Linked DNA regions of Bombyx mori. The protein of the gene in region 2 interacts with the protein of the main gene of each other region in a biochemical or structural test. Links are inferred from orthologs where the notes say so. Each region holds a gene or a part of one and is shown on either strand. Other genes may lie near its edges.

Evidence for each region. The genes of interacting proteins can lie anywhere in the genome.
Region 1: the proteins of transcription elongation regulator 1 (region 2) and splicing factor 1 form a complex in vitro, tested with the Homo sapiens proteins (3 studies listed by BioGRID). The link is inferred for Bombyx mori from reciprocal best matches to the Homo sapiens genes TCERG1 and SF1.

The regions. Positions count from the first base shown.
Region 1 is NC_085112.1:799,949-803,925, forward strand, and holds the start of splicing factor 1, read left to right. Parts: upstream 1-1,162; 5' UTR 1,163-1,370; coding exon 1,371-1,636; intron 1,637-3,750; coding exon 3,751-3,855; intron 3,856-3,977. UniProt on the Homo sapiens protein: Necessary for the ATP-dependent first step of spliceosome assembly. Binds to the intron branch point sequence (BPS) 5'-UACUAAC-3' of the pre-mRNA. May act as transcription repressor.
Region 2 is NC_085130.1:19,188,186-19,191,700, reverse strand, and holds part of transcription elongation regulator 1, read left to right. Parts: intron 1-55; coding exon 56-215; intron 216-1,577; coding exon 1,578-1,780; intron 1,781-2,185; coding exon 2,186-2,304; intron 2,305-2,517; coding exon 2,518-2,668; intron 2,669-3,515. UniProt on the Homo sapiens protein: Transcription factor that binds RNA polymerase II and inhibits the elongation of transcripts from target promoters. Regulates transcription elongation in a TATA box-dependent manner.

The DNA.
Region 1 (3,977 bases), on a different chromosome or scaffold from region 2:
ATTATGAACAATGCTATGAATGGAAATTACGTGAAGCTTATTTGTTATTGAAATCAATCGGGATAAATTTAAGTTAAACGGCATGAGATGAAATTAAATAGTCTCAGCAAAGTAGTTAGAATTTACCGACTTCAGTCGACTTTTTGGAAGGAACCGGAGAGCCTAGTCCAGCTACCATTCCCACCCTTATGCACTTTCACAGATGCTAAAGAGTTAATAAGTCATCGTTAATAAAAATTTAAATCCGAATAAACACTATGTTAACAGAAAAAAAACATTTACACTTCACTCGTAGCGCTCCCGCCAAAAGGTCAAATTCAGTTTAAGATCAGAAAAAAAAATTAAGCTATGGCCTGAGGCTATCCTTGGTTCCAGAGTCATTAACGACCAACAAAGAAGTTTAACAAGTACCGAAATTATTATTGGTTGCCTGCCAGGGCTCTTTAAACAACTCTGTTTTTATTTATATGTTCTCAATTATTCTATGAGGACATGGATAATTTTGTACAACCATACACGAGCCCTTAAATAATAAGCTATAGGTTTCTTCTCTCCATTTGCCTAAAAAAAACAACTTTCCTCGGTTCCGTTAAAATCCAGTGCTTTTTTGCTACTGAATATCTTGTCATGTTGAAAAGTTAAAGACTATAAAAATTCTAGCAACGCGCAACGCAGACATTAAGTTTGATATTTATTCATTATCTTATTATTTTAGGTCATCTATAGAACCTCTTCGAATCCTCTTCTTATATTTCGTATTAGCTCTAATATAAAAAAAATACTACTTTTCCTTAGATAGTTCTTCCTGATATTATGGTATTTTAATAACCTCACAAACAGATACTTTGTAAAGATATACGAAAAATCCTGATAGATCATTTGACCCACAAAAGATCCATGTGTGTCGCAGTGATGGATGGATTTCTGGCCCTACATCTCGAGCTAAAAAATAAATAGCTTAAATCGCTAATTACTGTGACTAAACGAAATTTTTTTCCTACCTATTTTAGTGACCTCGAGTGGTCATGCTAGATTCACAGAAGGAAGTATATGGCTTATCTGCTATTTGAAAATTTCCCACTTAATTGTGTTTTAAGTTTTAAGCTCGAGGCTGGCACTAATAGTAATGCAACAAGTTGCCATACCCAAAAAATACGATTATCTATGAAATCTATGGTAACCACCATTTTGTTAATTTTGATTGCGTCTGTTTTGTCGGCAGGCGGCTATCGTGTCGATTATAGTTTGCAGAAAGTGGTTTTCGCTCGCGTACATAAGATCACAAAAAGGTCTTTGATTTTATTTAAGCATAATAAGTGATACTGAAGTTAACGAATCAATAAAACGTTGCTATTTCATAATTACTTGTGATGAGTTCTCGACACCGTGATAGGAGCAGATCTCGTTCGAGAGACCGTGATCGTCATAAAGATCGTGATCGCGAGAAGAACAGAGACCGGGATAGGGACCGCGACCGCGACAAGGACCGGGATAGAGATCACGGTCGTGATAGAGACCGCGATAGGGACCGTGATCGTGATAGGGACAGGGATAGGGATAGAGATCGCGATAGAGACAGGGACCGGGATAGGGATCGTGATCGAGACCGCGACAGGGACCGCCGTCGTTCCAAAAGGTAAATATGTCACATTGTCATTAAAAAGTTCACCAGATATGAATTTATCGTGGTAAAAGCGAGTTTTGTGATTGTATTTCAAGTTTAATTGAGCTTAAAAGAGTTCCACTTGAAGTCAGCGGTTACTGGTCTGCTTAGAAAAATGCCATGAGGATGTCACTCTTCACCTTTACATTGATGGCTCAATTGCTGTGGTACATTAGCTGTTATATCCCTTAAATCTGAGCGTATGATTGTTGCTTGGGAAAATTTACAGAATGATGGTTCCAATTTGCTCATGCTTGAACAGTCCCCTGTTAGCATTTAAATCTTTAGAGTTCACAATTGAGTGAGGAAACCATCAGGACATACAAATGACAGAAATTAGAAGAACAGAAACTTAAGTCTATCTGTGTATTGTACCATATATTCTATTAGGAACTCTCTGAGGCATTGATGACCCCAACATCATAATTTACGATCACACCACTCATCACCGGATCATCGTTCATCCACACTATTTAGAACCACCGTGTTTGTCCACAGGGTGTCTTCATATATATTTGTTACCACATACCATCTGACTGTAAACTGAACTCCCCTCGCCCTTGCTTAGTGACAACTATGACAAGTCTCTCTTCACATCTGGTGTCTGAAATCCAAACAACCATTCAATTATTTTGGAAGGAAAACATTGACCAATTATTCCATCTAATTTATAATTCAATTTTAATTCTTATAACTAAAATATCCTTTTATGGGCAGCGACTTGGCACTGCCCCTGGAATTGCTGAAGTCCAGGGGCGACGATACCCACACACCATGAGGTGGGCCGTATGCTCATCTGCCTACAAGGGCAATAAAAATCCTAACTTCAAGATATCTGAAATTATTATAAAGCTTAGGTAATATAATTGAAGGATATAGAGAATTAAGTAAAAGGAAAGTAGATAACACAGAGCATCAAAATGATTCAAGTGTTACTACTATTGATGGATACAAGTTCATAAGTATAGATAGTGAAGACAAGAATATATTGAATGATATAGGAGACAAAAACAAAATAATTGATACTGAGTCCAGAAAATGAAAATAGTATTTTTCAAAAAACTACAAGCTTTTTTAAAATGCAAAGAATATGGAAATTTGAAACAGCCATTTTAAAAGTAAACATGCAAAAAATGAAACCAACCTTAATAAAGGTTTTATGACCAAATTAGAAATTTTTGATTCTGTCTATTAAATAAATAAGCCACATGAATTGTAATTTTGAAATTAATTATAATTATCAACCAAAGTGAATTTAAAGATTTGCTTTTATAATAATATACATCTTAAAACAATGTTTATAAAGAAATGGGGGTTTTTTACTTGTTGTCATATAAATAAGTACATCTTAAATGTTCATAGGTGCAGTTTTGTTTATGTTTTATTTTGTTTTATCTATAGATGGGTTTTCTATCTTAGTACTAGCATCAATTAAAAATTATTTCTATTAATCCAGTTTGTTAAAAGGCTTATTTCACTGTTAACACTAACTAATAATAAAAAAAAAACACTTAACAGCATGTGTATGTATTTACAAAAGCTAACTTAGTCATTTATGAGTTCAAGCCAATGATGGAAACGAGGCAACTTGCATAAAAAGAACAATTTTAATATAGTTGCAAATCTACACACTACTACTACACAATCCCAAGCAAGTGAAACTTATGTCAGCCCCATAAATCATGTAATTTTCTATTTATGCTTTTCTCAAAAATATTATAAGACAGCTAATTGAATCAAAATTTTAATTTTGTGTTCACTTTTGGTCTGTTTAGGTATTGTATTTATCAATGACTAGCTGTACCCGTCCGCTTCGCTGTGCATTTAAATGAACATTATTATTTCTCACCCCCACAAAGATGCTCATCATTAGCGCCCCCGCAACTGGTGTAGGGAGTCTAACACTCATATAAATATAAGCCTATCCATTAAGTAAATCTATTTTCTACATGGATACCAAGTTTCAAGGCAATCAAATGCATGGTTCAGTAGTTATAATGGAACATCCGCAAAAACCACTGTAGATTTATATATTAGTATAGATTTATCATTTATACTTGATTAAATTTGTTTCAATCTATATTCAGGGATAAAGATCGAGAAAGGAGCAGAAGTAGAGACAGACATAAGGACAAACGCCGCAGCAAGAGTCGCTCTCGAAGCCGCAGTCGAGGCAGGAAGTCTAAAGATAGGTTTGTTTGCTTGATTTACTCTCGGGTTGGTGGGTTGAACAAATGAACATTTTTACAGATACACATATCGACGTTTGAAAGGCAAACATGACTAAGCGACAATGCGTGAACTTTACAATAGA
Region 2 (3,515 bases):
CAACCCCCCGCACCCGCACCCCCGCACCGCTCTGTAGCCGCGCCCCTCTGTGCAGCGCATCACGTCCACCGTGGGCGGCAAGGAGTCGGAGCCCGGCGTGTCCAGCACCACGCCCTCCGTCACCAGCACCGCCGACACCAAGCGCCCGGCCGACGCCGACGCGGACGCCGCCGCCGCCGCCGCCACCGCCGCCAAGAAACCAAAGATTGAAGAAAGTTAGTATGCTCTCGACGATGCCGTGAGACTTGGTTCTTCTATACCAGTGGTTCCCAAAGTTATTTTGTTTACTGCGCACTTTGAGAATAAATTATTTTTAGCGCCCCCATTTTTCAACCTACTTAAAAACTACTATAGCGAGAGCTTAGTCGGTATATAAGGGTCCTTCTAGATGAAATTACAAATCGTTTCCCAAGCCTCTACACAACGCCCCCATTTTTTTCTGGGTCTCTTACCGCCCCCCTTTAGGTCTGCAGCACCCACAAAGGGGCGTTATCGCCCACTTTGAGAAAGGCTGTTCTATACTAATATTATAAAGAGGAAAGATTTGTTTGTTGGTTTGTATTGAATAGGCTCCGAAACTACTGAACCGATGTTAAAAATTCTTTCACGGTTTGGAAGCTATACTAATCCCCAGTGACATAGGATATAATATTTTTTGAAAAGAATTAGGGATTCTTACTAAAACTCGAATAATATAACCCAAGGTTTGAAAAAATTACCCAAAAATATTCTTTACATCGCGTGCCCTGCGAAACTATTGATGATAGAATAAAATAATGTACTACGACTTTGTAGAACACATTATTATTTACACAAAGTGTCACGACAGCATATGTCTAACAATTATAGTTATGCCGCAATAAGCGTTCTTTTATTTAAACAAATAAAACAACGTCAAACATCGTTGAAATTTTTGTTAAAGACCCGAGCGGAGCCGGAGCGGGCCACTTGTCCCATATAATCCTAAAATGTTTTTGGCAATGAATGACCAGCAGTCTGGGTGGGTGCGGTCCGTGGTCCTGTTACGGGGTGCGTTCAAGAGCTCTTTTAAAAAAAGGAAACTGTGACTGGCACTGAGTTTATTTTATAAAAGAAATAGTACAAACGATGTGTGTTTCCGCGCTTTTAGTAATAAATCGTCTTTATATGGGAGACGATGCTTTCAATAATGTCTTAATCTGCATTATTATTGAAGTGAAACTTCTTTAGGATCACTGTGATGTGATATCAAACTCGATGAAACGAAAAAATGAAACGTTCACAATGCATAAAAGATACATTAAATCAATAAAGAAAACATTACACACACTACATAACATGTATTTGACGCACACTCGCATGCATACTATTTATTTATTGTCAAACTTTTGTTCTTGACGTCTGTGGTCAAATTGAGAATAGATTAAATATTGTTTCTTTGTTAATATTTGTCTATAGTGTTGTAGTCTTGGCGTTGAAAATACAATCATAACAGTGTGCAAACTTACAATTCCAATTAATTATAGTCGAATTTCGACTACTGCGGGACCTCTAGTTCTTGACTCCCACCGTGTGTGACCTGCACGCATATGTTGCAGAGCTGGAGGAGGTGAGCCCGGCGGAGGCGGAGGCGCGGGCGGCGCGCGTGCGCGTGGCGGTGCCGCACGAGCAGCGCGTGGCGTCGTTCCGCGCCATGCTGCGCGAGAAGAACGTCTCCGCCTTCAGCACCTGGGACAAGGAGCTGCACAAGATCGTCTTCGAGCCGCGCTACCTCGTGCTCAACTGCAAGGAGCGGCGCCAGGCACGTGCCGCACTGTACTATACTGTACTATACTTGTACATGTACAGGTGGGCTGTGAGCTCGTCCACACATCTATGCAATAAAAAAAAAAAGAAACGCACGTTTAGACTTCACAGATACATTAACACAACTATCAGACGTTCACGGCAGCTGCTATGAGCGGGCTCTGGTAACTAACCCATACTCGGGCCCACCCCTCCCGTCCTGGTGGAATTGAAAACGTCTCTGAGCCACCAGTAATCTGACCCGTCTAAAAAAAAATTGATTTTTTTAGCCCTTGTAGGCAGACGATCACACAGCCTACCTGATGGTGAGTGGTTACCGTCGCCCATGGACTTCAGCAATGCCAGGGGCAGAACCGAGCCTAAATGTTGAAATGATGTTGAACTATAGTTATTTGCACAGATATTTAATCAGTACGTGACAGAACGCGCCGAGGAAGAGAGGAAGGAGAAGAAAAACCGATTGCTAGCAAAGAAGGCGAACTTCAAGCAACTCTTGGACGAAGCCAAGCTTCATACAAAGTACGTAGCGGCACTACGCACCAAATGAAATCAAATTTTTTATTTTATTCAATATACATATAAGTACATACTTGTTGAACGTCAAAAAGAACTACTGCCAATTCACAAAAACTAGCCTCCGTCCTGAGAAGAACTGGGAAGAAACTCAGCGGGCATGGCTTTTTTTTTAATATTAGATTTAGCTTGGTACTAACTAGCGCTTTCCATCGCCAGGTCCTCGTTCCTGGACTTCTCCTCCAAGCACGGCCGAGACGAGCGGTTCAAGGCGATAGAGAAGCCGCGGGACAGGGAGGTATACTTCAACGAGTACCTCGCCGAGATCAGGAAGAGGGACAAGGAGGAGAAGGAGCGGAAGAGAGAACAGGTCAGTTCCACGCCCGAACCTCCACTCCCAACCCCGCCCCCGCCCCCGGCCCGCTCCGGGGCTCGCACTGGAGACGAAAACAATATCTGGATTTGTAGGGGGACATATAACAGTAGAGAACAGCTGAGGTCGGGGGCGGCCCCCCACCTGTCCCCCGCCGCCATCACTGTCCAGATCGTGTGACGTCACGCGGGAACGCTCTCTGAATGAACTGCTCCGTCTTGATGTTAATGTACTCTCTCAGTTTCTGCATAAACTGAATTGCCTAATGTTATACCTTTAGATAATCTAGTGTCCACGAGTGCGGGTTCGATCCCCGCCCGCGTCGAGCGGCGCCTCATGTCTCGCCGCTGTGCCGGCGGACACATGCGCTTGCGAAATGATCTAATCACCTGAGTCGTGACTTTGATTACATTTAATTTTCTTAATAAATGAATATGAAATAATTGAAAGTTAATGTCTGTCTGTGGCACTGCTCTCGGAGGGGAGTCGAGACGGCGGCCGCCGGGCGCGGGCGACGCTCGCACGCTCCCGATAACAATGCCATTGATTTGTTATCTCTGAATAATTTGTCTGTTTTATATATCTCTATATTTATATATATATATTATCATTACTATTGACAAATGATTTTTATAGCGACGCGAGCGGATGTGGGTCGCGACGGTGCCCGCGGCGCGCCTAGTTAGTGTGAGGTTTAGTAGTCCCGGTAGAGGGCGCGCGGGCAGGTCGCGGACACAGCCGCTCCGTGCGGCGGCGGCGGGTCGGTAGCTCGCACTTACCTCCCGAGGCGACGTCGCTTCCGAAGTCCCGCTTCTAACAGACGGTCGTATTACAGGACAGGCCA